Linked DNA regions of Styela clava. The protein of the gene in region 3 interacts with the protein of the main gene of each other region in a biochemical or structural test. Links are inferred from orthologs where the notes say so. Each region holds a gene or a part of one and is shown on either strand. Other genes may lie near its edges. The genes, in order: serine/threonine-protein kinase ATR-like, DNA replication licensing factor mcm2-like, serine/threonine-protein kinase Chk1-like and denticleless protein homolog B-like.

Evidence for each region.
Region 1: of the proteins of serine/threonine-protein kinase Chk1-like (region 3) and serine/threonine-protein kinase ATR-like, one has a biochemical effect on the other in vitro, tested with the Homo sapiens proteins (7 studies listed by BioGRID, with this or other methods). The link is inferred for Styela clava from reciprocal best matches to the Homo sapiens genes CHEK1 and ATR.
Region 2: the proteins of serine/threonine-protein kinase Chk1-like (region 3) and DNA replication licensing factor mcm2-like form a complex in vitro, tested with the Homo sapiens proteins (2 studies listed by BioGRID, with this or other methods). The link is inferred for Styela clava from reciprocal best matches to the Homo sapiens genes CHEK1 and MCM2.
Region 4: of the proteins of serine/threonine-protein kinase Chk1-like (region 3) and denticleless protein homolog B-like, one has a biochemical effect on the other in vitro, tested with the Homo sapiens proteins (2 studies listed by BioGRID). The link is inferred for Styela clava from reciprocal best matches to the Homo sapiens genes CHEK1 and DTL.

Annotation. Positions count from the first base shown.
Region 1 is NC_135260.1:13,862,172-13,870,019, reverse strand, and holds the start of serine/threonine-protein kinase ATR-like, read right to left. Parts: upstream 3,216-7,848; 5' UTR 842-3,215; coding exon 783-841; intron 211-782; coding exon 78-210; intron 8-77; exon of another isoform or gene 1-7. Other genes in the region: sodium-coupled monocarboxylate transporter 2-like, read left to right, coding at 6,594-6,654, 7,002-7,105, 7,613-7,801. UniProt on the Homo sapiens protein: Serine/threonine protein kinase which activates checkpoint signaling upon genotoxic stresses such as ionizing radiation (IR), ultraviolet light (UV), or DNA replication stalling, thereby acting as a DNA damage sensor.
Region 2 is NC_135252.1:13,314,514-13,323,147, reverse strand, and holds the start of DNA replication licensing factor mcm2-like, read right to left. Parts: upstream 3,142-8,634; 5' UTR 3,042-3,141; coding exon 2,883-3,041; intron 1-2,882. UniProt on the Homo sapiens protein: Acts as a component of the MCM2-7 complex (MCM complex) which is the replicative helicase essential for 'once per cell cycle' DNA replication initiation and elongation in eukaryotic cells.
Region 3 is NC_135256.1:8,813,530-8,821,804, reverse strand, and holds the start of serine/threonine-protein kinase Chk1-like, read right to left. Parts: upstream 3,134-8,275; 5' UTR 3,114-3,133; coding exon 2,946-3,113; intron 2,644-2,945; coding exon 2,448-2,643; intron 2,372-2,447; coding exon 2,246-2,371; intron 1,761-2,245; coding exon 1,626-1,760; intron 1,246-1,625; coding exon 1,068-1,245; intron 550-1,067; coding exon 426-549; intron 1-425. Other genes in the region: dnaJ homolog subfamily C member 9-like, read right to left, coding at 3,510-4,298; DNA repair protein RAD51 homolog 4-like, read right to left, coding at 5,006-5,977. UniProt on the Homo sapiens protein: Serine/threonine-protein kinase which is required for checkpoint-mediated cell cycle arrest and activation of DNA repair in response to the presence of DNA damage or unreplicated DNA.
Region 4 is NC_135253.1:12,719,372-12,727,553, reverse strand, and holds the start of denticleless protein homolog B-like, read right to left. Parts: upstream 3,422-8,182; 5' UTR 3,239-3,421; coding exon 3,148-3,238; intron 2,778-3,147; coding exon 2,692-2,777; intron 2,551-2,691; coding exon 2,514-2,550; intron 1,925-2,513; coding exon 1,625-1,924; intron 1,085-1,624; coding exon 918-1,084; intron 398-917; coding exon 271-397; intron 183-270; coding exon 5-182; intron 1-4. Other genes in the region: aspartoacylase-like, read left to right, coding at 6,174-7,118; poly(A)-specific ribonuclease PARN-like, read left to right, coding at 7,817-8,015. UniProt on the Homo sapiens protein: Substrate-specific adapter of a DCX (DDB1-CUL4-X-box) E3 ubiquitin-protein ligase complex required for cell cycle control, DNA damage response and translesion DNA synthesis.

The DNA.
Region 1 (7,848 bases), on a different chromosome or scaffold from region 3:
TTATTTAAGTTCCCTGAATATGACAACGACATGTATTAGACTGTATACATAATAATTCAAGCATACTAATAATTTACTTGGGAAGTTTTTCCCTTTGCTTTTTCAAGTTCTTTAAAAATTGAATTAACATCTGTCAAATGATGATGAATAATCATCTTCAAACTTTCACGAATCTTCACACATTTTGTTACAAGTTGTTCTGGAGGCAAACTGTGGACGACAATAATTCGATGAATAAATATGTACAAAGAAAAGTAGAAAAAAACTTCCTGAATTCAGAAAGCCTAATTAAGGACAATGAATGTTTCACAATTGGCTACTTCGAATGAGATGTTTTCTTTGATAAGGCTTCGCAATGCGTTTAAATATTGCATTTTTGATATGGCCGATATGGGTAAATCTAATTTTGACAAGATTCGAATTTTGTATCAATATCAGGATATGGAATGGATATTAGCAAGCAAATTTTTCATGCCATCATTTTGTGAATTTGATAGATGAATATTGAAAAAAATCAAAATCAAATAAAAAATAGGACTAGATCATTTGAAAAGATGCCGCTACTACATGGCAGGTAAGGTTTTAATTCTTTTTCTCTATCAGTATTTATCAAGACTGTAAATAGATAAAATTATGCATTTGGTTATAATGTTGAGATATTTCATACAATCCAATGCAGTGTAGCTGTCCAGCAAACCATTATTCACTACATTTAACCTATCCATGAGAATATCTCCTAACCAAATTCTGAATTTTCGAGAAAATATAACATTAGTACATACCTTGAAATATTTTCATAATCTGCTACAATGCTACTCAGAATTTCTCCGATAGCAGCCATTATTCAAGATGGAAAATAAACAAATTAATGAATGAATGAAGAATCTTGAGTTTATACAATATGAATGACGAGTATTTCATACGCTTCCAAACTTTCTAGCTCCAAAGTTGTCGAAGATATTGAGATATGTCAAAATCAAGTCAAAATCCCAAGACTAAACTCATTACCATAATCAATGCCTACTCCAGTATTCCCCAGTTCCATTTGCTGATTCAATAGTTTCACACTTTATATCCAATCGTTCAGTCGTTAATTATGTTGAAAATAGAGACGTTCCCATGTTCAAAAGTTATATATGATTCAGTTATTACAGTATTGAAATAATTTACCGACAAAAATTTAATATTATTAATATGATGCAAGACAGACAGATCATTTGGCAGTTTGGCAATACCATAACGGCATAATAGAATACTGGAATATTGAAATGCAGCACCATACTGCCATAACACTGTACAGACTGGAGTCTGCTGGTCAGGGAGTCAGTACGGTGGGTCTCATTGGCTTTTCTGCTTTCACCATATTATTCCATTCAGACTCTTGTCGGGTGCGGACATGTCTGCTTGAAAAGACTAGAGAATGCTACGCGCTGTATCGTATGTTTCGGTATTTGTATCGCGTAATATCAACACGTTTCAGAGAATCCTATTTTAAATAGAAATCGAAGCCCCTTCCTCGAGAGACGTATGGCGGCTAATTCTCTCCATATCGGTAAAGATACAGTAAAACGAAGTTGCGTATTGAACTAAAAATAAGCGCCAAGCTTAGACCATCACCATTGAATTCCTCGGAAACAAATAATCAGATCCACCAAAGGAGAAAAAATTTTACCGAAGCGATTGAGAGAAATAAGCAAAAAACGATCGGCGGCGTGTGCCATGACTGAATTTCAATCGATGCACGCAGGCACGCATCGGCCGTTCCTCGACGCAAACCTTGGCTTGGCGTGTTTCTCTCATTTTCAATGTAAATAGGATGGCGTGTTAACAATAATAAATGGATCAGAGATAATAAAAATTACATTTTGATAACACCATATATCATATTTTATGTTCTTTCGTACACCTACAATCAATAAACAGTAAATTTAATGCCTCGATGCAGCATTGGATGAATAAGTTTATAAAGCAATAATACAATCTAATGACGCAAAGAGAGATTCATATGTCGCAAAATGCGTAATTTATACAAAAATAGATCGGAAAAACAAGAATAAAATTAGCAAAATAATTTAATATCATGCCGCATCGATGTAATCATACGCCGCAAATCAGTGAAAAACAAGATTCAAATTAATATAATGCCCCATCGATACATTCATATGTCGCAAATGTTTAACTTAGCATTAGTCTATGTGGTACCATCACTCAATGGTATTGTACTTATAGTAACTAATTACTATATTTAGGGTGACTTACCCACTTTGCGGCCATGACCTATCTGCGACCATCAACTTCATCGATTAAATTAATGCCGAAAAAATTAACGAACCGCGACGATATTTCTCACGCGTTATCGTCCACTTATCCCTCGTAGCTCTGCGAAATTACACTAAAATGCGGCCACAAATAAAAAAGTTACGACCGAAAACCTGACCGAAGAAAAAAAAACGGACCATTTTACCATGTCGCCAACTACCCATTGTTCCTTCAAAAAAGCTTGAAAATCCAAACAAATATAAGAGATAAAGAGATGAAACTTGGCAGGTGGGTAGAGTTGTGTTTCTTTTAACCATCTTTAAAGTTTCGCGTTTCTACATTCAAAGGAGGGGGAGTAGGGGGGTGCGCATTTCCAATACTTCAATAATATCTTTGTCAACTAATTTGCGACCACCATGTTTTTGTCAGTTTGATTGCTGTGATGCGGTGCTTTGTTTATAATTTGAAGAATTTTGTTCGAAATACCCGTGTTCTTAAAATATATGACGGTCAGAAATGCAATTAGAAGCCCATTTTTTCACGCATGGCTGCGTACCGTATGCCCTAGTCTCGACGCAGCAGAAACGATGTTCAAGGCTTAAAATCCGTGATCGCACACTGGTCGTTCGGTCGCAAAAACGTCTTCAGAGTGTCATACTTTGGTGGTTTGTATAACTTTAACCCCTGGTCGTAGAAAGTTAATTCGAAGTTCAGCGTGTGGAATAAATGCCAATGCACCTACGGTGAAAAAATTAACGAGTTAGAAATATTGGTTTTTGTTTTATAGCGGTTTGAATGAAATCGTCCGCAGACTGGCTACACCACCCTACATGCAGTGTGTTTCATGTTGTGTTGTGTCTCTATTTATACAGTTATACGGTAGATGTTGTTTTGTTATACAAACTCCTTTGTACAAACAGTTTTGTATACTCCACCCTTACCCCTGTTACCACTCCCACCCACCCTCCTTGCACAACTGTCTCTGTCTGTATAAAGGACCATATTATACATAGTCTATTTGATTTACCTTATTACAGTATTACCGGTACTGTATTATAATCAAAAGGGGTGTAGACTATGCCGCACATTCGTGTTTTAGGCCAGTATGGTCTTGTGCATCCATCCCGTCTTCAGTATTTATAATTACTAATTCTTTTATATTGCTTTTACGAGACGAATAAACATACATACATATCCTAAACTAAGAATTCACTGTCACCTTTAATTAAAAACTTAGCCCAATGCCGCCACTATTTACGCATGAACGATTCCTTGCAAAACATAAGGAAATGACCGCCTGGAGGTGTAAGAGTGAGCCAATCTCCACTGCGATTCATCGTAAATATAGCCGTGCCTAACTGGTTGGTTAATATTCAACTTGAAAAGAAAATAAATAGAACTAACGTGTAAGCGCAACGCGACTTGCTTTAATTATTTACTTGAATAATTGATAACTTCAGCTTTCATACCCGACTGCTTTCGTTATTGGACACGAAATGTAAACATGGATCGTCTTGTCATTATGTTGTTGTTGTTGGTATTTATCTCCTTATTGTCATGGAAAAAAATCACTTTTCTCCTGAACTACTGAACCAATTACTTTGAAATTCTCAGTGGTTGAAGATTCTACTTTTTGCTAGGAGGATATCATTTTTAATTATTTCCAAATATTCCGTGGGATCTATGTGATTCGTTTTTCACTTCGATATTTTATGTGATGACCTCTTCAAAGTGATTAAAAAATATTTGTGGGGGTTCTGCGACCTACCTCATGCTACGCTAAAGTCGGCTTCACTTTGGCTTTCGTGTCCTTATATTTTAGCATCGCTCTCTTGTTCTTATGCAGTATTTCATATAACTTTTTTGGTTATTTTTTTATTGTTTGTTTTACTTTTAATGTTTATAAGTCGAATGTTTTTTTATAACTTTCTTGAATTCAACACAAATTTTAGTTAAAGAAATATGCCGTAAACAAAAGAATCAGATTTCAATACGAAACACGATGGTTGTTCGTCAAAGGGTTCATCGAATCTCGTGCTATAAAACTAGATAATCATCAACCGCGCCATTGATCGTTAAAATAGCAGAACTGAATACCGAACTCGAAAAATGATATCTAATAATTCAAACGAATCTGTAAACAAAAAATATCAAATTTGAAAACACCGTGTCTCACACACAAAGTATCCATTCCATTTCTGTTGCTGATTGTGTAAGGTGCAGTAATCGGTGTTGCGACAATCTGACGAGTTAATTTCGCAAACTAGTAATAGGGCTACGAACAAACATCATCTTTTACGCATTGGTATTGTTTAAAGACACATGTAAAAAATGGGTAAATATAAAAAATGACGAACAATGTGCGAAAATTTGAAACCTAAGATTTTCAAATACTAATATCGTTATAGTTAATAGGTGTGATATCGTTAAAAATAAATCTTCTGCATATCTCTAGGTAATGTATTGGAAATTTAAACACATACGAATATAGAGAAGTTGCTGCCAAATTAAACTTTGATATTTGAAGTATTAAACGGGCTCCCTGATTATGTCGTCATTACGACGAACTAAATTTTTGCACTTGGGATTATTTGAGAGGACTCGTAAAAATAAAGACGAATTTTTAAGCGATGAACTCGGTAAATACGAGCTTCCGTGAGAATTCACAAAAATAATTAATGTATGGCGTAGTTCCAAGACATTTGTAAATATAGGTTCCGACTGCCTGTTCGTTGCCAGGCAATACATTAGAAAAATGAAAAGTTTAACGGCAAATACGGTAGTCTATATATATATAAGAGATGTTATTCATTAACATCGCCTCAGTATAAACTTCGTGATTTGATTCTGCGGTTTATTATGTAAAATTTTAGACTATTTGCCAGGATTTTATTTTTATATTCAAAGTTTGAATTAATGAAAGCTAAATTAATTGGCACGTAAGGTGAGCTTACCAACCTACTTCATGCATTGTGAACAAATAATAAAATCAATGAGTTCCAGGCTCAATCCAATTATAAGCTTTCCTTCACAGAATATTAGTCGCAGATTGATCGCATGATAGAGTTGACTGTGTATTGGTTGCAAATGTTTTTATACCCTAAAATTTGCAAGCCGAATCGTTTGTCGCTCTCTGACGGTAACTAAGCTTAGACAAGATATCAATTGAAATACATGACAAAAATATGACATGAACGTGCTTCGACGACAAACACAAATTATAATCAATGAAAACGCAGTTTTAAAGAGTTACCGTAACTTGCGCATCTGTGAATCAATGCATAAACTTACGTGACAGATGACTTCACTGCTCACAACATCTGAGTTGGAATAAGTTTATGAACAAAACCAGTTGCAAATCGTCGAAATACATGGGTTTTAAAGTGAAAAATATGGGATATAATAGCAATTAGCATTAACTATTGCCTTTAGTCCGGACGTCCGCTGTCTTGCTCAACAAGAAATTCAAAAGAAAGAAATCCCGATTCCTTCATAGTGTAGTTAACTAGTTTCGTTTGATTAATGATGGCATTTAATTACCACTTGTCCCCAATATTAGAATGGAATCAGTGCCGCAAATGGGAGTACTGTTTATCCTTCATTCGAGAACACATTTCAATAAACGAATGCTTGATGAGGAAAAGAGTGGGCCATTATCCTTAGTTTAGATTATTGTAGATCTCTGGTTGATGTATATATATATTAGAAATTTAATCACATACGAAGATAGAGAAGTTGCTGCCAAATTAAACTTTGGTAATTGAAGTATTAAATATCTGATTATGTCGTCAATACGACGGATTAAATTTTTGCAATTGTGATTATTTTAGATGACTCGTAGTAGAATCTATTCCAGAGCAATATATTACGCAAAAATCATAATTATATACATATGTACATATAATGATGGTATCTTTTAGATATTTATCTGATGTGGATTTTGTGATGAAGCATATATATATTGAGATATTGTCATTAAAATAATGTTGAGTATCCCAATTCGACAGCACGTACAGTACGGTACTGATGTAGCCTACCTCGCGCATTTATTATCTGTAAGGACCAACATTTTATTGCAACTCTCTGTTACTGCCTGCGCATGTTTATTGTAGTGCACTCATCACCTTCGATGTGTCTAGCTTTAGGTGATTGATGAGGATAACCCAAACAAAACTGTGCAGCAGACAGACGTTCATCGTGCCAATCAAGAGGTTCTTCCGCCAGCATTTTATTACGTTTTATGAGACGTGCTTTCATATATATATATATATTTCTATAGGGCGACAGATATATAATTTTTTAAATCAAAGCTTGGACGAATAACACGTAACATTATGGATTCAACTGATAATGCGAAGAAATGGTTTGGTGCGGTGGATTTTACAGTTTTTGCAAGTGAGTAACTTTACTATTAGACACAACCATATTAGTCCATGTGGAGGAATTCATGAATAACCTTAGCATGTATTTTTTCATGAAATTACTTATAAAAAACATTATTTGAATTGCTAATAATTATGTAATTTTCAAACCAAAATATTGCACTTTTGGTCGAAATGCCTCTTTAACGGCAAAACAAGTTTCTTCAGCAATGAATAATTTGTGAGTTTCAAACTTTTGATGAATTTACGCCAAACAGATATTACCCATGTTTTTTCATAACATTTTTGCAAGAAAAAAGACTAGAAATTTCCTTTTGGCAGCAGGGAATCGTACACACTAATAATATTTTTGTTTTTCAGTTTTTCTTGCTCTATCCACTTTCATTGGCGTTTTCTTCGCGTTCAGAGATAGAAAAAACAACACAACTGCCAACTACTACTTTGCTGGAAAAAAATCGAATCCTGTATGATCATTATTCTCTTTTATTCTTCAGTAATACTCGATGCATTTATATTTTTCTACCAAATGAATTGTATTGATAATGAAGTTTGAACTCCAACTGCCACGCAGTCTTACTCATTTTAAATCATGTCTTTTCATCTAGCGAATCACTCATTCATTTTAGTCAATAGGTGACACCGTGCATCCCTCAAAATGAAAGAAACTCGTTTCCGATATGATCTTAATAACTTTGAATTTATTGTTAGGCAACTGTATTGATAGTATTATATATATATAATACAAGTACAGGTAAAATGGAAAATGTGCAGTCCAAATTTTGTGAAAGTCAAACCGATGCATTCGCGATAACCCGTTAGCCAACTGTATTAATAGTATATTATTTATAATAGGGCCTACAAGTACAGGTGAAATGAAAAATGTGCAGTTAATTCGTGCTAACCCAACATAAACACTTTTCAACGTATAGAAATCCAATGCCGAATAATTATATTTTTATGCTCCATGTTAGATCATTGTGGGACTGTCGATGTGTGTCACATACATGTCATCTTTTTCATTGGTTGGAATACCGGCGGAGGTGTACCTTGTCGGAACGGCCCATATACTTATTGCCGTTGGAATTATCTTTGCCGCATTGACTGCCATAGTGTATCTTATTCCTATATACCACCGGTTGCAGCTACAATCAATATTTGAGGTATGTTTGCATTTTGTGAGCAATATCCGTTCGTATATTTGATGATT
Region 2 (8,634 bases), on a different chromosome or scaffold from region 3:
ACGGTTTTATCGTTATATATCAGTCCGGACTTGGCCTTGCTCATGATGTTTTTCACAATTCCTCTCAATATTTCGGCCCTATATGATTAACTGTCTTACCAAATGCGGCAACTTAATTTGATTTATCGTCGACTTGAATACCACCGGCACTCGACCAAACTTGTGTCAATCTTGGCCGATAGGATCGACGACTTGAGTTAGCAAATAAATGTCGTGAGTGTAAAATAAATGTCACAAAATGCATTGTTTTGCGATATAACTTTGTGTTTTCGGAGAAGGCATATCATATAAGTTCCATATTTAAATTATACTCAAATAAATAATATTTGATCTTAAATTTATCGCAAATAATGTTATAAACATTCAGTCCGCGAAATGATTGAATGTAAAATGAAACATGGTAATCGGAATATCGTCAATAAGTCGACATCAATATTTATTATTATAAAATGCTAACAAGGCAGTAATATCGGATAATGCAGAAGACGCTGCAAAAACAAGTCTTCGTCGCGAGGAAATCGCAAGTATAATCAAACGAGAGAATACGCTCGTCGTTAGTTAATAAATTAGAAACCCGTAATTTTTATTCAGCACTAAGGTGGTTTTAAAAAACTATCGTTTCCATAAATATCCGTATACCAGTGTCGGTAATAATAAAATAAAATTGATCGCATAAAAATGGGACGGTTAATTTGCGAAGGTGATAAAGGAAAACCAAAGCTAACACAAAAGATAAAAATCAGAATAAAATTAATTTGAATTCACTCCTTGATATTTGCCTTTAACATCTGCCGACGGCGTGTAGTACTGCCAAGAATATGAAAACCCAACTTCAATGTTCCATTCGGAAAAGAAGAGGATTCAATTGGTTGTTATGATAGGTTTAAATGCATGGAAAAATATCGCAATTACGGGGTCATTACGTAATTGATTTTGCCGTAATTACGGAATTGATTTTTGTCAATTACGTGCAAGCCTATTAATCGCGGGGTCGTCACATGACCCAAATTGCATTTTTTTGCTGAAAATTTTACAGTAAATTTTAAACTAAACCAAGAAATCCAAAGGTGACGATTTTAGATTGCACTTCCTTTTAGTATATTGTGCAAAGCTGCTTTGCCAATTTATGCCAATATCGGGGCCCAGACTGTCTCATAAATGAGGGGTTTGATGTCCTTTAATGTGGCTATTCTTGGAATCGAATAAATGCGCCATACCGTATTCTGACCCATTTTTATTTCAGACTGATAGGGATTCCTGTTTCTGTGTTTATTTGGCATTTAAAAATTATGACAGTTATGAAGTATGCATTCTCATCGCTTTGTATTTAGAGGAATGATTTTACTGCTTTGAATACTAAATTAGTTTTTCAGGTACAGGGTGATGATATACCGGAAGATTCCATTTCATAGACCAGTAATATTTTTGTTCTATGCAGCTACAGACTGACCTAGAGCTAGGGTGGCTTACCCACTTTGCGGCCATGACCTATTTGCGACCATCAACTTCATCGATTAAATTATTGCCGAAAAAATTAACGAATCGCGACGATATTTCTCACGCGTTATCGTCCACTTATCCCTCGTAGCTCTGCGAAATTACACTAAAATGCGGCCACAAACAAAAAAGTTACGACCAAAAACCCGACCGAAGAAAAAAAACGGGATCATTTTCCATGTCGCCAACTAGTCATTGTCCCTTCAAAAAAGCTTGAAAAACCATACAAATATAAGAGATAGAAAGATGAAACTTGGCAGGTGGGTAGAGTTGTGTTTATTTTAACTATCTTTAAAGTTTCGCGTTTTTACATTCAAAGGAGTAGGAATAGGGGGAGCGCATTTCCAATACGCCGATAATATCTTTGTCGACCAATTTGCGACCACCGTGTTTTTGTCTGTTTGATTGCTGTGATGCGGTGCTTTGTTTATAATTTGACGAGTTTTGTTCGAAATAACCGTGTTCTTAAAATATATGACCGTAGAACCCCTGGCCGTAGAAAGTTAGAGGTTTAGCGTGTAGAATAAATGCCAATGCACCTTTACGGGTTAGAAATATTGGTTTTTGTTTTATAGCGGTTTGAATGAAATCGTCCGCAGACTGGCTACACCACCCTACCCAAGTCTGGATTTCATGGCCGTTTTGAATAAGAAATCGGGCGTGCAATCAGAAATTCCGGCGTGCAAATCAGAATTCCAGGCGTGCAATTATAGCTTACTTCGTGCAAAACAACTGCGCCCGCGTGCAACTGATTTTGATACTGTTCAATACATCCACGTAAAATTATGGGATACAAAATACGTCGAATCAGAGCAAATATGGACGTTTGACCTTTGACCCATAAACATTATTTCTATACTTGTCATTAATCTTGAGTGTTTGTGCGACTTAGTATATAGCCTAAGTATAAGTTTATTATACTGTGATTAACTTGATACCGGTACTGTTCAGTACATCCCCGTAAAATTATTGGATAAAAAATACGTTATATCAGAGCAAAATGAACATACTTTGTCAATAATCCGTTAATTTTGGGAGTGTTTTTACGTAGAATTATTGAATAAAAAATATGTTGAATCATAACAGAATGGACGTTTGACCTTTGACTCCGAATATTATTTCTATACTTCGTCACTAACATTTTTCGATCAGGCCAAATCTCAGAATCTTGCAAGCTCAGTGTTATGTAGTCGACAATTGTAGAGCTACAGTTTGTTGGCTTTTCTATATTACCGGTACTGGATTATTGATTTAAAACCATTTAAACCGATTTTCATTGGTGAGCAATTGCAAATTTTTGGCGTGCAAAATTGAATTAGCTCGGTGCCTTTTTACAGAATCAACAGGTAAATTCCAAACTGAAAACTCTTACTCAAAATACTCACCAATAAAGCATCAGCTTCACTCTCATCTTGAAATGGTGGAAGATCTTCTGCACCTCCTGGACTTGATGCAAAAGGCGCTCCCCTGCTGCTTGGACTGACCGGGTCGCTGATAGGGGTTCTTGGGTCGGATGGTATTCCGTTCATGCTGTCATCAGCCATAGTGAAAATAACTTCACAAATTAGGCTAGGCTATATTAAAAATAAATTATACTAAAAACAACACATTCAGAAATTATTGAATGAAAACGACAGACAAATACACGAACGAGCACCACAAACGAAAAGTACAGCAAAGGCTCGCGGCATGACTTCTAACAACAGCTGATTCCCGCCACTGAGAGACACGTGACTTGTTGCGGCAAAAAATATTTACATTCGCAACGGTTCTCCTAAAACCCGCCCATATCCATGACCGGGGAGAGGTTTTATTACATGAATAACATTATTACTGACATTATCAAGTAAGTGTATACAGTAGTATGTATAAAATCCACATTTTTGGACCACATCAATTTATGTGGGTCATTCTGCAAAACAAATAGAGGCTCTTGGCTCCCGACCCGTAAAGGGTTCCAAAAAAGTTATGTGCATGTTTTCGATAAGAAACTGAAAAAAGTTCTCCCTCCTTGAATACTCAAATTTGTCTTAATATCTTGAATAATGATTATCTTGATAAAAATATTAAGTTTAATATTCTTTAAAGTAGATGTTCCGAACACTGTATTCACTGTATTATAATACTATAAATTTAACCATTCCGTAATAAAACTGTATATTAAAGGTCACGAGCCACTTTCAATTTTTGTAAAAGTATAGGCTACTCAAATGTTTTCTTTCTTCTGACACAAACTACTACAATGTACTTTATTATTGTTTTCCACCAAAAAGCCATTGTTAATAGTACTTCCTATCTATCATTATTGTTGTATCTGTGATAATCCGATTGCCTCCTTATTTTTTCTCTGTGTATTAAAGCCTGACCCGGTCCAATAATTATTTAATTACAAAAACTATTATAAATATTTATAAAAACTAATCTAAGCCCTTGATAATTGTTCTGATTCTATGGACCTGGCCGGACTCAGAAACTCCACGTGACCTATTAACATCACGACTTGCATTATTAACTTGAAAATATTTATTTCTATTTTATCGATATTTCATCACTAATGTTGTTGTTCTTGTTAGTATTATACTTCTCTTTCGTCATGATGAAATCGCTTTCCTCTTCGAATACTGGACCAATTGCTTTGAAATTTTCAGTGGTTAAAGATTTATTTTTTTGCCAGAAGGCTATTACTTTTACTTATTTTAAAAATTTCTGTGGACTTCAAGAGAATCGTTTTTTATTTGTCAGAATAAAAAATAGCGACACTTTGTGACGTGTACATATATTTGAGCACAGCTCTCTTGTTAGTATTATTCTTCTCTTTCGTCATGACGAAATCGCTTTCTCTTTAAATACTGGACCAATTGCTTTGAAATTTTCAGTTGTTAAAGTTTGATTTTTTGCCAGAAGGCTATTACTTTTACTTATTTCAAAAATTTCTGTGGACTTCAAGAGATTCGTTTTTTATGTGTCAGAATAAAAAATAGCGACACCATGTGACGTGTTCACATATTTGAGCACAGCTCCCTTGTTTATATACAGCATGGACCAGAGGCCTCGGCGACCTAACTGGTCTGGCATACTGATCCTCACAAATAGGTATCAACCAATTATTGTAAAGTTATATATATTTTTTCAATTACTTCAAATGTATCATAGTGTTGAGTCCACACTGTTGACAATGTTTGTGGTAATAAAATCTTTCTCTCCTACTGGAATATAGAGCATTCACGTTAAAGTGATCAACAAAGTTAACGATAAAAAAAACATAATGTAGTTTAATTATAAGGGTAGATGAAGAAAGAAAGATATTTTGCGTTCGATGTAATTTTTTGTGGGCACTTGCTGAAAATCTGCCCCAACAATGAGTGCAAACTCTGCCAAAACAAAAAAAAGCAACGTTTGTTTTAATTGTGTTCTTCTCTGTTTTTGTTTTTTGTATTGGTCTTGATAGATTTTTCAGGGTGTCCGTGCTTGGTGATCAGTTTCAATTTTTGCATTTGTTTACACCCGCAATCGTTCGTGCAATTCATTGAAAACTTAAACAGCTAATTATCGATAAAAATAGGAATCACGATGAAGAAGATAAATATAATTTATTGTTATACCAACCGAAAAACAGAAACGCATTAAAAATGTATGTGAACAAGTGAGCGCGGCTCGTGGGTGTGGCGCATCGTGCTTAGCGTCCGGAATACGCTCGCCACCACATCTGATATTACCCTGTGTGCGGGTTCATTTCCCTGTGATAAGTATCAAAATCCTATCCTATCCCACGAAAATCTAATCAAACAGTATGTCCTCGAGCAACCATACACGAAATGTCCCTTTCGTTATCGGAGTCCGTTAGCAAACATATGATCGGCTTTTTTCACTACTGTAATGAATATGAAAATCCTATCCTATCCCACGAAAATTTAATCAAACAGTATGTCCTCGAGCAACCATACACGAAATGTCCCTTTCGTTATCGGAGTCCGTTAGCAAACATATGATCGGCTTTCTTCACTCCTGTAATGAATATGAAAATCCTATTCTATCCTACGTCAACTTTCTTCACACAGTAGGTATTCGAGCAGCGATTCACGAAATGCCCTTTTCGTCAACGGAGTCAAATGTTCCTTTCGTCAACATCCAATGTTTATAAACGCGGGAAAAATAAATAATCCGATTCAGATAAATACAAGACACATACACAATGGTCCTTTGGAATGGCTTATTTTATCGAGAAATAGAAATACGTTGACTTTCGCACCTCCCAAAGCCCAATACACGAAATATAAGAACCATATGAAGACTTCGTGTCCAAAAATCAGCAAATCGTTGGATCAAATAACAGGCCCCGGAGAATCGAATATAATAAAAAATATTAAAATGAATTGCCATTTAGCGACTATCGTTTCATCTTTATGTGCTGAACAATTGAAGTCCATTTGCCCATTAATTGCAATTTTTCACATCACCATCAACTTACCATAGAACTTACCAAAACGATCTATTAAAGTTTATCTCACAGCAGACTCGATAAGACGTTATATCTAAAATGTTCAAAACAGGTTTTCACATACATAAATATCAAGTTTTACATTATTAAATTTCAATATCACTTTGTGGTTAGAATATAAGCCCTCCAAGTCGACTTTAATGAATACAAATGAGACAATATATTACGGCAAACCGATGATTTGTAATAACTTTGCCATACATGTATAATTATTTTATTGCCAGGAACGCGCTATTGACAAGAAATCCAATTCAGGTATGAACCACAAGAGAATCTGAAAATAATCGCGTCATACGGATGACGGTATAGGTCACAAAATTTGGCATTTTTCTTATCAGAAAGACAAAGATTGCTGAAGTTGTGAGGAGTGAAGGCGTTTTTCCCCATGTAAACCCCTGAACACAAAAATCGAAACACAAAGGGTATAAGGCCCGATAGCAAAAAAGTAACTTTGAAAAAAGGACTGTTTTATTTTATTTTCGGTATTCAATAATTAAGGCAAATATGTAATGATATTAGGGTGGCACTAGTACCATATCATACGCCGTTCGTGGAGTAATCCCACCAAAATAGATGGTCGGGAATGTTTAGAGGTGTCCCAATAAATGGATGAAAGATAAAATATCTTTGATTATCATTTAACAAGACAAGCAATTTCTGTCCAACAACACTGCTAAAAGGAGTCACACATCCATTTCTTAAACTAATAACGACAAATCACATTTTTGTTCAGATTTTTTTTTTCTATTTATTCATTTGTATCATTTCACATTGTCCATTAGCAATTTGTATATTGTTACAAGTCTGCAATTAGTTTTTCCTTCGGTTTGACAAATACGTCAAATCACACTTTCAATGCGAAATTTACCATCGTGATTGTGTTTTATAGCGTAATATCAATAATAAAAACTTAGCGCTACGTGGAGCAAAGTGTTGTTGAGTCTGGCGTCAACGGCGGTTCAGTTACCACAGCATTAGCCCATTTACCTTGCGCTTAGAAAATAAGTATGACAAAAGAACAATAGGGGACAAAAAAGATCTTTCTGTTTGAACTATTAAGATTTCCGTTGTTCTAATTCATAAAATATAGCCCACAATGGGCATTTGGATTGGTATATTTTATTAAGAATTGGAAATACGTTGGCCTCCGCTACTCTCATAGGCCAATACATGAAATATCAGAACCATTTGGAGATTTCATGCCCATTAAAACAGCACAACTCTGGGTAAAATAACGGGACCATGCATTTAGCGACTATCATTACATCTTTATGCACTGAACATTTGAAGTCCCTTTGACCGGTAATTGCACTACATACAAACGGGTTTATACGTACATATCTTGTTTTACATTATTAAATTTATCAAGTTCAATAATATGAATAAAATCAATATTGTGTTGTGGTTAGAATATAAGCCCTCGTGTCGACTTTATTGAATACAAATGAGACATTATACTATGGCAAACCGGTGATTGTAACATTGCCCAACATGTATATATAATTATTATATTGTCAGGAACGTGCTCTTGGCAAAAAAAATCAATTTAGTTTAAGCACCAACGGATTATATGAACGGTTGCAAATTATCGCTTTATGCGGAGGACGTATGATGGTATAGCTCACAAAAATGTGTATTTTATTTTTCACGAAGGATGAAGCTCGCTAAATTTGTGAAGAAAGAAAGCGTTTTCTCCCCTTGTAAACCTCTGAATAAAAAAAAAATCGAAAGCGAAGTGATACGAGGCCCGATAAAAAGGAATAAGGTTGAAAGGTTGAAAAAAACTGTTTTATTTTTTTTTCAGTATTTAATAAAGAGTAGTTTTTTGCATATCAATTGCTGGTCGTACAGGGCCTAGTTATGAATAAAATTCGCCAAAAGACTTTAAGGCATAACTTTATTGATATTAGGGTGATACTATTACCAGTACTAGAATCCGCAGTAGTATATATTTACGCTAGAATCGATTCTCGAGAATCGTCAGACTTTGTCCCAATTGTTTAAAATCTTCGGTGTAAAGGTGAAAGCACCAGAAAAAAATAAAATATCTTCGATTATCGGTTGACATGACAACCAATTTCTGTCCAGACAACACTTCCAAATTGGGTCATACGTTCATCCTTGGGCTAATTACCCCAAATCACACTCTTTTTAAAGCTTTTTTTTAATATATATTTATTTGTATCATTTCACATTTGTATATTGTTTGTTGAAATTTTCCTATATATGATGAGAGACTGTTGCAAAAGTCTGCCACTGGTTTTTGCTTCGGTTTGACAAATACCTCAGATCACAACTTCATAGCGAAATTTAGCGTTGTGCTTATGCGTTATAGTACTAATATCAAGCAAAGTGATGAGTCTGGTATGAATGTCGGTTCAGTTATCACATCATTACCACCTTTACCTTGCGTTCATAAGATAAGTAAGATTAAAGATCAATATGGAACAAAACAGATCATTCTAGTTGAACTAATAAGATTTCCGTTATTCTAATTCATGAAATCTAGCGCGCGCGATTGAGTGTTGCAAAAGAGAGTTTTTTGCGATAAATAATGAGAGCATTTTGAGGCGATGGAAATTTACATACGTGCGGGCATTCAGATAAAATAAATAATTGGTTGGTAAATTGAGGTTGTA
Region 3 (8,275 bases):
TACTGTTGATGTTGACAAATATACCATAAATAGGTTTTCGCTGAATTTTGATTGGTAAACCCTGAGTTGACCTCAGAGCTAGATGTACATGTGATTATTCTTCAGGAGTTTGATGTACGGGGGCGGGGCTTTGTTCTTTCTTGCACAAGTAAATTAGAAATAAATGCAGCATTGCAATAAATTTGTGAATCAATCCCTTTGAACCATTTGATATACTCATTTTAATTCCTGCTAATATATCCTTGAAGCATACTAATCACTAACACAAGGCAGATAGGAGGAAGAAGTAGAAAGTTACACACTACTTCAATTAACCTTAACTTTTAGTGAATGATTGACATCTTGAACTTGCAGTGCAAAATGTACTTTTGCAAATGCAGGCAATCATGTGATGTTAACTTGTACACATAAATATTTGTTCTTACTGCATCCCTATCTTGCACTGCAATAATGATTGATCCTGATTCAGTCAGCAGTCGTTTTGCGAGTGGTGAATTGTCAAATGATGATGACGATCTTCTTTTGAATGGTAGAGGTTTCACAAACCATCTGTTCGAATATGTTATGTAGCTTTCACACATATTAATCATAGTGGGTACCAAATAATTTACTATTCTCAATAAGTAATATGATGTACATCTAATTTTTTTGAATATAATGTTAAATTAATTAGTGCAAACCTCTATTTCGACCAACTAAATTCCAAATTTAAAAATACTGTTTCAAAAGTATTCAAAATAAGGGAAAATTCGGTTTCAGCCACCTATGCTTCATAGATATAAATCAACAAGCAAATAGTGGGAATTATTATGGTGAAATGAATGATATGAATTGTTGGGAGTACATAGGAGATGTGTGTACCAGTTTAGTTTAGGCGATTTTCTTTAAAATGACGACATTGAGAAGTTCAGTTTTAATGTAGCTTCCACGAACCATTGTAAAGCAAGGACAAGTGCTGAATCATCACTTTTACAGTCAGTAAATACTATATATAGTTGACTGATACTCAAATTAAGAAAAATTTTCGTGCTATTCTTGATAATTATAAAAGAAAATTTTAATCATACCTGTCCTTTTTCACAGTTGCAATAGTTGCACGTTTTTCAGGAGATTCGACCAATACTCTCCTCAATAGGGCCAGAGGTATTGTATCAATTTTATTCCAAGGTGATAATTGGACTTTTCTGTCTAACCAATCACAATATTCTTGGCATCCATCACTTGGTTCATCCCATGGCAGTTCACCTGAAGAAAACATTTCCCAATCCAAAATTTAGTTGTCAAGAATATGTAAAAAACAAACAGCAAAAATTATCCTACGATGTACTTGGATGCTTGTAATTTAGAATCACTCAGATTGTATATTTAAAGATTATCAATGCTATTCTCATACGCAACTGGATGAGACGCTGTAGTTTGCCTATGATTTAGAAAATGCTATCCTAACCCGGAATGTCTAACAAGGACATATCACATGAAATGTGCTGGGAAATGACAAGACGTATATAGGTGATCTGGTACTAATGTTAACTTCTATGGCAAATAAATGCACCATATACATTTGACATATCAACCTCACTTTATCTTTTATTCTATTCATTGATATAGATATTTCTCCTACATACCTGCTAACATGGCGACCAATACTATTGCACATGACCACACATCTGCAGGTTCGGCATGATAAGGTTCTTGTACTAATACTTCTGGTGCGACATAAGGTGGTGTTCCACAACATCTATTGATTAATCTTTCTCTACCTGTGAGTGAGTAGTTATAAACAATTTAATTTAGGGTATTTATTTAAATAATTTTGCTCTGACAAAATATGTATATGGCCCATGCCTAAAAGAAGCATGATTAAAATATTATCTATTATTAATAGTCGAGTCAGAATAACGGCAACTACTGGGGGAGAACCACAATCCCATGGTACATCACAATTGCTTTCTGTTGTAAATTCATTAACAGCACATAGCTTAATTGTTGGTACAACAGGGAGAACCGGGGAGCCAAACTCGAAGAATGGAAGAAACGAGCCATTGCTATTTCAAAACAGCTCTTGGAACATGTGCAGAGGGTATCTAAGTTCCACCAAGGCTTAGAGGAGTCTATGAACTATTTACTATTGACGCAGACCACCCCAGATTCCAAGCTATTTGAACTCTCATTCCGTTCTTGTTTGACCAAAACACTACCAATTCCACAATGCTGTCTATAGCTAATGCAATATATTTCAAATTACCTTTGTGTCTGAATATTGTTGCTAAACCAAAATCAACAATCTTAAGAATGTTATTTCCATCGAGAAGTAAATTTTCTGGTTTGATATCACGGTGTGTCACTCCAAGAGAATGCAGGTATTCAACACCTGGAAGATTAACATAAATACTAATTATGTTAATTACTAGTTGAAAAGATAATTTTTCAAAGAAATGATTTTATACCTGAAATTAATTGCCTAAAATATGATTGCGCGTGTGAAGGAGGCATTCCAATATCTGGTTCAATCTTATCAAATAATTCTCCACCACTTGCATATGCCAGAAATATATATTGATGTGTTGTCTCTTTTCTTGTACCGTAACATTTCACAATGTGTTTATGATCCAACATTTTGTGTATTCCAACTTCTTTACGAATCTGATGAATTCACGATACAAAATTTTACAGTATGCTAAATAACATACCGTAATTACTGATGGTTAACACATTGTGCTACAAGGTAGAAATTTGCTTGTTATTCCAATTGTATTCACCCTTTTAGATTAATAGTATAATCAAATCCTATGTGGAGCGATTAGGAGTGTAAGAAATGCCCTGATGAAAGAAATACTATGATGATGAGCCAATCGGACTATGGCAACAGCACGAACCCTCTTGGGTCAACTGAATATTTATTTAGAAGAAAATTACACGAGAATCTCTTACTATCAAAATCTTACCAGATCCATTGCTGCTGCATCTTGTGCTTTCTTTAGGTCAATTATCTTGACAGCAACTGCTTCATCATTTCCTGAGTTAATAGCGAGTTTAACCTCACCATACGCACCTTCTCCGAGTGTTTGAACGAAATCCCATCCATCTACAAATGGCACTGCTGCAGCAGTCATCTTATTTTTTTAAACACAATAATAGCTTGAAAAATCTCATGGATTAGATAGTGAAATTACTGCAAAAATGAAAGAACAAAAAGAAGAATTCAAATAACGAAAATTAACAAATACGAGTATTATTATTAGGTCTTAATAACGACAAAATAAATTTATGATACTAGGAAAAGTGTTTCAATTCCTCTGCAGCACTGTTACGCATGCACTGTGAAGCATGAATATACGTAGATAAATATGCAAGTGTATGTAAGTTATAGCAATAGTACAGTAGAACTGATAAACTGTAGAAATTTGCTCTCAATTACTGAAAACAGTATAGGATCATTTTTGTACTGTTAATTCAGCTCAACATTTTATTAAGTATTTTGAACTTGGGACTTTTGGAATGAACCATTTTCATGGGGATTTCTTTTTACTGGTGCCAGGTTTTTTCTTTTTGCTGTTTGCTTTTTTCGGTTTCACATATTTAGCAGCTATTTGGTCTAGAAATGCTTCTTGTTTCTTCATCCGATCCTCATTTCTTTGGGCAATGATACTTGCTATGTCAGATATGGAATCTCCCATTTCTTTTTCAAAAACTTTCGCATTTTTTTCTGCATGCTTTGCTTCTTTCTCGTATTTACGTTTTCGTGCTAAACGTTTTGCTTTGGTTTCTTTAGAGAATTTATCATAGTTTGGCAATTCCTTAGCTTTGATCCATTCTTCAATCAGTTCTCTATATCGTTGTTCATGATCTAAAGCTCTACAATACATATTTTGTATTATTTTATTCATATCACCTTTATATTCCTCATAAGCTTTTTTTAAGTCATCTTTTTCCTTTTCCGAGCCCCAGTATTCATCAGTAAACTCTTTAATGGCATCGTTTAAATTTCCAAATCTTGACGACCAAAATTGTTTCCAATTAAAAATGTCGCTGTCAATTTCATTATCTACACATCCACTTTCATCATAAACTTTCCGACGTTCTTCATCAGAAAGTACGCTATAGACTTTTCCTAAAATTTGGAATTTTTCAGTAGCAAGTGCTTTCTCTTCTTCAGTTACCCTATCAGGATGAACCTTCAAAGACATTTTACGATAAGCCGCTTTGATTTGTTTTTCTGATGCATCCTTTGATACATTCAACACATTATACAAGTCTTTTGACCCAAACTGTTCCTCGCATTGCTCCAAAAAAGACATTTTATGTTTTCTATTCTACCAAAGAACAAAATAATCAATTAGTTACAAAAATAGGCAATAGAGAAATTATAACCCCCCCAAGTCTCTAGAGAGGTGAACCAACTTAAAGATATGTCTTTCAGATAAAAGTCGGTCAATTTATCAATCAATTTAATATGATTGTTTTGGGAACATGAATTGGTGCTACTATAGCATGAAGTCCACTGCCAAGTGTCATATGTCACCTAATCTATATCTGAGGTCTACCTACCATGTTAAGATTAGAATCAGATCCATGTCATACATCACTAAATTAGTCATAGAAAGTGTTCCGAATAATTGTTACATATTTGGAATGAAAAATGCAGCGGTAAACCTCAAGCTATAATAGTATCCATGCTACTTCTAACAAGGCTCTTAATGAGCAGAACAAAACAGTCACACGAAAGCAAAACATTTCTTGATAATCGAGGAGTAGAAAATTCAATACTTCGCAGAAGATGATGTGTATGTGAAGGTCATAATAAAAACAAGTTGAGACAATGCATTTACTAAACATTACGCCAAAATAATTTAGATATAAACAATATGAAAAAAAGATTATAACACAATTTCAACACAAAACATTTTAAATATGAAACATTTGAATATACAACACTACCACAGGGGACAGAAACCTTTACAGCTAAATTTATTTCAAATAGCGGACATTTTCATATGCAGCCCTGCTATAGTGGACAAAAACCTTTTTCAGTTAACTGTAAGTTAATACTAGCACCTATTTTTGCATGGTGAGATTTGAACACAGTAACTTTAATAGGTATAATTCCATGTTCTATTGAATTATCATTTACATTTTTCAAAACATTAGATTTGGATAAATATATTCGCGTCGCTACAGCAGAATTCCACGAATGACCAAATCCAGCATTTGGAGAAGAGTCAGAATCAATATTAAAATATGTGTTTGTAGTAACTACAACAGCTAGAGTAAAATCTTTCGCTATGGCATTAATTTCTTTTTTTATTGATGTTGCCAGAGATTGTCCTTCAACATATGATAAATTTTTCAAATCAGAGAGTAAAACAGCTGATAAGGAATCAATGATAATTGCTTTCAAGCTTAAGGTGAAGCCAGTATCATGTGAGTTTAAATTTCCACGAATCATTGATAATATGTCAAGGAGATGATAAGTTGATGTGCATTTACATACTCTAATATGTGATAACGTCTCACCAAAATTTGTTTTAATCATTTGAGCAGCCCTTTCTGGGGAAAAACCAGAGCTGCAGTCAATATATATCACATTTTGCTTTAACGAGGCAGCTATATTGATTGCAAGCCCCGTGCATAATTGTGTTTTTCCAGCTGCAGATGAACCGCAGATTTCAGTCACTTCTCCAGTAAATATACCAGATGATAAAAGATCATCCAACTCTGTACAATTTGTTGAAAGAATTGAAAGGGTAGCAATTGATTCTTCATATAGATTCAAACCATTCAAGGGAAATGATGAATATTCAGCAAGCAATACACGTCGTATCGATAAAACAGTTTTATATTGAACCTCACACTGAGATGTAATTTTACTTGGTTCCGTACAAATAAAATCCAATACTCTTTTTACTCCATTAGAAGCTAGTTTTGCAACTATACTTTCAGTCAGTAACGGACACATTCCAGCCTGAAGAAGAGGCATTGTTTGCTTAATATAGACCTAATTGTATCTGTAAAAAATGGTGATTAAATTTTTTTGATTAGTGTGGTATGTAAGTTAAACTCACATGCCATGCATACCAATTGAATTTTCTATACAGACTTTAGAGGAGAAAAGCCACTGACTCTGAGAATGTAGGTTGGCAAATGAAGCATTACAACAGTATTGCCTTATCAATCACTATGTCAATATGTGTTGATGTGATTCTTAGATTACACCAATATTTCGTATGAAATGAGGCTGAAGCATGGTGCATCATTTATTAATTTGATTTTGAAAACAAAGAATGTTTGAATGTCCAGGTTAATAGAGTTTATCTCCATGTATCCGCCTTCATCACTGTATTGTTTGTATTTCCATTGCTGTGTGCAGGTGTGTCACAATTCAGCAATTCCAGAATTCTATCAAGCTTAAGTCAAGCTTTTTTTTCTTGGGTAAATCAGATTATTTTTTCCCGAAGAATTCAATGATGACGTTATTAGATTATGCTTCTTTGTAGTATTTTGCGCAATATCATTATACTGTATTTTTACCGATATTGAGGGACAACAACGTCCAGACGTCTCCCAAAGGAGGGGTGTCTGATCATTGGTAAAATGGATTTTCCTGAATCGAGACAATGTCAACCGATCTGTATAGTGTGCCGTACTGCTCTATGCCACAAGAGTAAACAAGAGGTCGTGGTCCACCTTACCAACTTTCCTCTCCCCAAGGATAAATACAGAACTATGTAAATCCTATCCTGTCTACTTCCAGACTATTGTTAGCCGTCAGTCATCGGCATGAACCAGTTGAATAGCAAACTTCGTTACCGGTCTGCCAGTACTACCAGATGACTATTATTGCGTATTGACAGATTGAGCTAATCGCAATCCGACTAACAAACTTTTCGGCCAAGGAAACAAAAACATTTCATCAAATCAGTTAGTTGTGTTGAAGAAACTGCAGAATTGAAGACTGGAAGAGTGAAAAATGAATGACAATGAATAAATAATTTTTTTTTTCTAATTCGGATTTGTGAATAGGATAGTTTTGATTTATCCAAATGTAGCCTATTATTTCAATTTTTGCCAATTATTGTTCGAATTTGATCCAGATTAGTACCCATTTTCCAAGAAAAAAAAAACATTTGCATAGAAAATTCAGAAAAACAAAAGATTATAGGCTACAACAACAACAGAAAACCATATTACTCATATTTACATCATTTGTTCAATTTTGATATTCCATGTCATATAGTCCATTTAGAATTAATTCCCATGTTGTGATTGGCCGTTCAACCAATATATTTATTTTAGTAATTATTAGATTAGGCATACAAGCATACTACTCATTTATGCACCCAAATGCCTCCGCCCCATGCATAAATTTACACGTGCTATTATTTGTTCTGCTATTATTTGTTCTTGTTGAGACCGCCGTCGGGTAAAATATCAACGATGGAATACTGGAGTAGGAAATATTTGGACGAAAACTTGGAAATTAGACGAATATAAACCCTACTGAGAAGATACATACAAACTTAAATCAAAACGATGTTGTCGGATACAGTACTGATACGATATGGATCAGTTCGCATCAGATCATGCTGGGCCAGCATTGCTGGCCTGCGTGGAGTTTATCATGGAAAACTGGTCGAAGCTGGGAAAAACATGAACAGTCAATTGTAACGAATATTTGAAGGTAGATTGCATAAAAAAGACTACTTACACTACTGCACTAAGCAAATTTTGATTAAAACTGAAGTTGTAACGCCAGGGCAATGCACTTGTCATATTTTACTTCGTTTGTTGTTGTTTTCTTTCATGGTGCTTTTATCCTTGTTGTTTAGTTGAGTGCGTTTGTAATCAAATTATTTACCACATATTGCGCACTGCTTGTTTGTTTATGTTCTACAATTCTCGTTATTTATATGTACAGATATAGCCTATTAGAAATTACACTCCATGTTAAAACTCCACATCCACACCCAAGTATTTACGCCCGAATTATCTTTCGTGTTCCTTTTTTTTCAATTTACTTCAATGTGTTGTTTGCCACATCCACACCCAAGTATTTACGCCCGAATTATCTTCCGCGTTCCCTTTTTTTTTTTTTTTGGTTATCCAAATACGTGATTTCAATTTATTTGCATGAAGTCACCAAGATTTTATTTTTCCACATTTTGGCCGAATTTTAATTATTCATATATTTCACCCCAATCCAATGTATCCACCAGTCAAATAATCCATTACATTCCATTCGTTCAGCACATTTAAGTAAGTACATAATTAATTTTAT
Region 4 (8,182 bases), on a different chromosome or scaffold from region 3:
TCACCTTCTTCCATTGCTAGGTAGAGTTGATAAATTATAATGATATATTGAATCATCTGTACATGATGCATATAGGTTCGTATTTGATGAATCCAGTGTAAGACAAGTATATCCTCTTCTTCGTTGACTTAATCCGGGATATGGAATCATCTCTAAAGGAGCATCCCTTTTTATTCCCTTCGCTTGAAAAAATATCACTAATTATTCCAAGAACTCATTACTGGTAGTGTAAAAGGGCGCACACTAAGAGGGTAGTAGGATAATAATTACCCGTCGTCTTCTTCTTTGTTTGAATTTTTCTCAAATCCCAAATCTTCAGCATTCCATCCATTGCTCCTGATGTTATCACTGTGTTGCTGTCTTGAAATTTCGCTGACGAAACAGTCTGTCGAGAATCCTAATATTCAAACATAAGATGTCAACTAATAATGATTCAACTTTTAAGTCTTCGTGCAATTGCTGGTCGGGGAGGCCATTCTCTCTATGTAATTTTAAAGGTAGATAATGCTATATTACAACAAAAACAAACATCTTATGTACGGTATCTATGATTGTTTCTGGACAAAATAAACTAGATTTCATGAAAAATACTTGATTTCTATGAATAATTCTTGAAGTTGTGTTGCTTTAGTTTCACTTTGCATAGATTTATCAAAAGTGGTAAATTCAGCATTGTATGTGCTGGGTTTACGTTTGAAAAGAAGACATACTGCAGTAGTACTTATAAAGTTTTATAACTGTCGATAAATTTTCCAGAATAAAATAAAATTTGAATAAACATTTTCCTTTCATTTCGTCAAATTTAATCCAGTATGTAGTGGCCCTCTTTTGGTTTTTAATGTGAAAGTACATATATCATTCGCTCATCAGCAATGAATTTCAAAAAGTATTTTGCGAGTCGCGACAATAAAACTTACTATGGCCAATTGTCCAGTGTCTACCGCTAATGCTCTTCTTCGTTTTCTCATCGGTGTTAAAGAATCATTAATCACATGAGCATCCTGGATTCTAACAACAGGTTGTGATGAAGTTCGACGATCCCATATCAATGCATTCCCATCTCTTGATCCTGTTGCTAGGAGATCTGTTGAACAATACCATAAATAGAGTAAAGCAGAACTGTGGAGTCTGGAGTCGTAGTTTCAAACTTGAATGTCAAAATTCTGCATTTTATGATGTCAGAATTGCATATTTCCAAGGTGATAAAATAACAAATTCTACAGAACGCCAAAGTTTTCATTATCAAAATTGCACTTTCTCGGAGTTCAATGCTGGAGCCAAATCTTTCAAAACTATGAATCAGGAGTCTGAGCCAAAATTTTGTTCATCTGAAAGTTGATTGTAAATGTTCTCAGAATCCACAGCTTGTTTTCAAGATACAGAAATGCATAAATTGTAATCGGGATAAATAGGCTAAATTGCCATCAGGAAAGGCACAAATTGAACCTTGCATATATGTAAAATTTTCTCACATCGAAAAAAACATAGATGAAAAATACTTCTTTCAAAATGATCACATGATTGACATGAATAAATAGATAAAAGAAAAAAATGTGTTGGGGGGAACATTGTGCTTGAACAGGAATAGATTCAATGAGGATGTTTGATTGGATAACATACTTACTCAAATTGTGCTTAGACACATTCACAGATTTCAAACTACAACTGTGTCCCTTGAAAACAGTTATGACTTCTCCTTTTAGTGTGTCCCATAATGCAGCTGTTTGATCACCAGATGCAGTTGCTAGAGAATGTTCGTGAGGAATCCATGCAATATCAAATATAGCATTGTTGTGTGCCTCAAGTTTATGCAGTGGCCTCAATACTTTATCAGCATCATTTCCCAGTACTGGTTCATTAGCAATGAAAAGAGATACGATTCCATTTTCATCTGCCACTGCAAATGTATGCTCACTGCCGGAAGCTTAAAAATAATACTTATTGAAGTTAAGAAATCCATGCCATGTATTTGTTTTGGTAAATGAGTACAATCTTGATAATACCCCACCACTGATTTGAATGTTGATTCTGATTATTTCAAGCAAGCTTAGGATAATTTAAAGGCAAGGCAATAATCTAACCCAAGATTTAGCCTACATATTCATCCTGGGAAGGGTAAGCCGATAAGACGGCTTCATCATATGGAAAACCACGGGCTCTCGTCCAGATACCAGTCCACGTCGAGTATGGGATTAGCCAGTTATTTATTTTCCGAAGCATGGACTTGATGGTGAAGGAAGCTGTAACCGACCAGCGGTTACGTTGACCACCCTACAGCGGCGAGGAGTCCAGCAATCCACTCGCACATAACTATTTCTGCACGGGATTCGAACATGCGAACCCTCGCAAGGTAATCAGAGATGTGGTAGCAAGCGTATTGCTAACGCTTGGCACGATGCGCCACACCGCCAAGCCGAAATCAAATTAGAAAGGGAAAATACCAGAATAAAGACCTAAAATGTAATCAAATAAAATCAAAAACGAATCACTTAAAGAAAAGTTGTGGAACATACCTGTACAAAATTCAACTGTGTATGGGGGTACTTCCGGCTGAAACAAATAAAAATAATCTATTCTAAAACATGTAATATTTTTTGATATTGAAAAATTGTGTTTTGCATAAAAATCGCTGAAAGCGATGTTTGTTTTTTCCAAATACCAGATTAAACTAATTGTAATTAAATTCGTTACCTCAAGTTCCCCAGGAACGACATATTTCTGATTATTGGCACAAAATATGTCTTGCATGTGATGTTGATTGAAACTATTGACAAAATCTAAACAAGAATCGTAGAAATATATTAAAGCAGATGAAAAATTACAATAAGATGATATCTGCAATCTATATTATATTATAATGTAATTTTCAGATTTTGTAAAATAACGTAGTACAGCAGTACGGTATCAGGCGATATTCTGATATTTCATATCAGTATTACGTTCAAACAATTGGAAAAATCAATATCTTCTACCTTATCTTCGTCTCATGATACTGTCAGACTGTGACATACAGTCAGACAGTGTACTTGATATATTTAAATCCGAGCTGCAATGAGACCAAGAATATTTGCAGATTTATTAACATTGTGTCATCACATCACGGAAAGTTAAAAAAGGGATGGCATATGATATGAAGAAATACCTGACCTTTTTCGTTATAGTTGACGCATTTTCGATATCTCGTATTTGACATTCCAATCTGACGAATAAATGTTAATTTTCCCACGTTAAACGCCATGACAGCATAACATGCAAATTCCACTTAATACAGAAGATGAAATATAAGATAGAGCTACAGATGCGGTACCGGTAGCGTGGTTTAAACGCGATGCTGTGACAGCAAAATGCAAACAACTGAACACAGAAGTAACCGGTAGTAAAAAGTAACAGAAGTACCGTGATGGTGGCAATTATGTAGGCTACTACACAGAAGTAACCGACGGTAAATCACCAAGAGAAAAAAAATCGGCGTCGGCGCCTTCCGTCTTTGCAGCGTTTGGATTTCCCGCTGTTCACGCGAATTGTCGGGTCATGGGTCATACTAATTACTGAGAAGGACAGTATGGAAACAACAGAACCAACTTGAGAGAGTGCGCGATATATTGTTTCGTCAACTAGAAAACAAGCATTGTAACAACAACAATAAAAATATACAACATACACAAAGTTATTCGGTACAAACTATATATATGTATATGTTGCGTATTATAAATTTACGGTTCATGAAACATGTCGCACAACTGTGTCTTACACCAGTAAGGTCTTGAACACGTATCACGGTATAACAGCAGTTTAGGATTTCTGCGTAATAGTTGGGCAACAGACATGAAATTGATGAAACATACAAATGAATCTTTAGTACAATACACAAAACAGAGAGGTGCAGATGTACCAGTATCCGTTTGTGTTGAATTCGTAGTCATTTTCCGGGTTGTTTAGGTTTGGCATAACTATATACACACACCAATTGTGTCAAATTTAAATGCGGTTTTTACGATAATGTAAGATATAGAGTGTCCCGATTGAAATATGTCCGTGATTTCCATTTTATTTTTTCATACGACGCTTACTCGCATGCTTTGCTCCGAACAAGGCCCTGTGGAAGCAGTTACATATATCGATATGTAAGGAGCTACTGCTATTTGTAAGAGCTAGAATCGTCCCGGTTCGAAAATGCTTATCTAATTTATTGCACTCCATGCAATGCGATACCAACATCAATAAAATTAGAGCCTACTTCACCTATGCAATAATATATATGCTTAATTTGCATATGTTTTTGCGAAAACTATAATGATGTCAGTTCTCATAAATTTTAATATGTTAGATATACGCTGACGTTTCATATTTTACTGACATTAGAGGCATAGTGGTATTTTCACATTCCGTAAACTGAGACGAAAAAGGCTAAATTGTAATAGTCCCAACTAATTCAAACTTTATCCCGATATCAAGTCTTGTTCTTTTCTACCTAGATCCAGTAATCGGATGAAACGTCACACTCCTGGCATAAACGTAGACATTTTATTTTCACCTATCTTTACTTTTTCTTCAGTGTTATTTTATGACAATTAAAAAATGCTGCAAACAATCTGATAAAAAACAGTATCAGATAAAAAAAAAATGGACATGCTTTTGAAAAAGAATTAGTGCATTGAGCAATTTCAACGAATATTGATATTTCCTCTTGTTTTTTATCCTGCGAACATTATGCCCACCACTGAGCCTTCCTATCGCCTCGTATGGGTAGGCCTATATTGCGCCCGCAACTAAGCGTTGGTGATGAATCGTCTGTCGATCTTTTAGGAAAAACGATACCCGAAAAAATCTCCTTTCGCGCATTTATCGGATTAATCGAATTTAATTTTTCAGTACTTAAAATGGAGAAGTCGCCAATAGCCTATTACTATTAAATACAGTTTCAAATTTTATCTTACTGTGTTTCTCTGAAATATTTCTTTCGAAAAATAACACTAGGGCTTTATTTGAGGGGATGCTTTTTATTTTAATTTATTAAAAACAAAATTACGAAGTAGAAAATTACGAGGTTTTCTAATATACAAAATTTGAAAATTGATTGCCATTTACCTACAAATAACACGTTTTAATTCAGAATAAATGCTGAACATAGATTATTAATCATTCAAAACGTGTATGATAGATTTCTTGCTATGGACTAGGACTCAGCGTTTCTCCAAACTGTGTTACGCAGCGTCTTCCGAGTGTTCCGTGGAAAATGAATCAAAAATACATCTGAAGTGGTCGACATGACGATCTCGGGATCGCGTGAAGTTGTCGCCATACTGACGACCGTTTAATATCGAGTCACCGTCGGACTAACTTCTTGAGGGTAGTGGTATTTTCGTTAACCGTCGGCCTAGCTTTTTGACAAGTTCATTATTGAGTTTACAGCAATCTTTTTGGTTTTGCAATAGGCAAACATCGCTAAACTCGATCCAGCAGATAAATAAACTGCATCTTGCTAAATTGCAGCAAATATCTCTATCTCCATTGTTACGTAACATTAGAGGCAAACATTACGTAATGGAAAGGTAAAATGAATTCATTGATTCATATACACAGCATTTAAATAAGAAACAATAAAACATTTATAATAAATGCAATATGTAAAAATTCAATCATATATAGTAGGTATGTTAATTAAGTTTTCGGCATTCTATTGGTAAGTGATTGAATATTTTAAATCAAATAGTTGCTTTCAGCTTGTAATCAACTTTTAATTATTGCAACTAAACTGAATGTCTTCGGAAGGCATGATTCCAAATAAGACATTTGATTTACAACTATTTTTCGGAAACACAACTGAAAACTGAGAAATACCAACACGCAAAACACAAAACGAGGCAATGTTTACAACCATTCTTTAATATCTGTTTGAGCCAAAGAAGTGTCTGAGTGGCCGCATAAATTCCAATTGTTACTTCAATGTTGCCGTATTGCTGATTGGTCATTGTTACGGCAATAAACAAGGAATTCGATGTTCAGGGAAACATCCATTCATTTACGGGCAAGATTAAGAAATAAATCTATGGGGTCAAAGTTCGGGGGAACAGTGACCAAATGAGAATTTGCTTTTTATCGGCGTTGCAAATACGCAAGGTAATCACAAAAAGTTTCTCAATTATCTTGGCAAACTTTTAAATTCAAAGATTATGGCTTCCATGAAACAAATTTGCATATTTGGAGGAATGCATGGCAATGAGATGTCCGGTGTTCATTTGGTGAGAAAATGGGAGAAAAATCCAGAATCAGTTACCAGATCAACCTTCCAAACAAAAATGTTAATTGCTAATCCAATTGCTGTGAAATTGGTTAGACGGTATAAGGATGTGGATTTAAACAGGCAAATGTCTCCTGAAAATTTTAAAGTTGAAATAAATGAAAACACACCCTATGAAGTTAGAAGAGCAAAAGAACTGAAAGGAATGTTGAGTGAAGGTGGAGAAATTGGCGAATGTGAATTTATACTTGATTTACACAATACAACAGCAAATAATAAAGTTAGTCTCCTTCACATGGAATCGAATGACTTTAATATGCATTTAATGCATTATGTATCAACACATTTACCAGAGGGAATGTGTTATATTATGTCCCTTGCTGGCAATGTGAGTTATGATTCTGGTAGAGGATTAGGAAAATATGGGGGAGTTGGTATAGAAGTTGGTCCCCAGCCACAAGGTGTGTTGCGAGCTGACATAATGTCTTTGCAAGAGTCATCAGTTCACTTTGCTCTTGACTTCATTGAAAACTATAACAATGGTGAGGAATTTCCAGAAGTCAATTTTTCAGCATACGAAGCTGTTACAAAAATACCGTACCCACAAGATGTGGAAGGTCATCTTACTGCAATGATTCATCCAAGTCTTCAAGATCAAGATTGGAAATTGTTGACGTTGAACGATCCTGTATTTTTGTCTTTTGATGGCAATGTTCTTTATCTCAAAGACGTAATAGAGGATTCGAGTAGCGGTCCATTTTACCCAGCGTTTATTAATGAGGCAGCATATTATGAAAAAGGCATTGCATTTTATTTGACCACTCAGTATAATGTATGTGCTAAAAAGCTATCGAAAAAATCATTTGAATTTCAGTGAATATTTTTTGATTGCCAGTTATCTATTCAAGATTAATATGTATGTATTCAAGAGCAGGGAATTATTTTTTTATTATAAAATTGCAGTTTCTATGAATTAAAATGCATTATGCTATCTGTTTGTCTGAATATGTTAATATCTGTTTCGTTTTTGTCCAGTTATTTTGCATAAAATATTGCCAAAACCATTGCATCTTTAGCATGGTGTGTTTAATTACCTATTAACAATTGAGTATATTTGAGTAAGTTAGGAAAATTGGAACAATTCTTTCTGCACATTAATATTGAATTCCTATCTTTCCTTATTAACGAAATGGTACAATAAACCAAAGTATTTGCTATTTAAGTATGACCTTACAAATATTACATTTTAGCAATCATCGATCATATGTGCCAAAGTGTTTTAATTTACTTTTAATCAATATTTTTCTCCCTAATAACCCTTCATAAAATAAACTGACAATTTAAAATTATGTCCTACCTTTTTATTAACTAGTTCAAATTTTGCAATAATTCGGTACTTCAATTGTGCAATATGATTCGAATTATATATTATTATCAGCATGTATCATCAATCATATATATTCATATGATTATCATATAAACATATATGATTCAAATTATTGATAATAAAACGAGGTGTTCATTGTTACAATCTCAATGTTTTCCAGTATTTAGAAATTAATTCGATCAATAAAAATGGATATTACCAGGCATAATTTCAAGGAAACGTATGAAATTGTTGAAAAAGCAGTTTCAGAAGCAAATTTTGTTGCCGTGGATGGTGAATTTTCTGGAGTTACTAATTCAACGTTCAATTTGACTAATTATGATTCACCTGAAGAAAGATATCACAAGTTAAAGCATAATGTCGCTGATTTTTTACTTATGCAGTTTGGTAAGTGTACTGTAGCTATCTATTATTTCCCACTTTTGAATACATATTTCGGCGCTCCCGAAGTATTGTACCAAGATGACGCACAACCTGAAAACCCCTAACCTGGTACACATACTATGTTCAGGTTGTGTGTCATTTTGGTATGAATACTTCTGGAACACCCATAT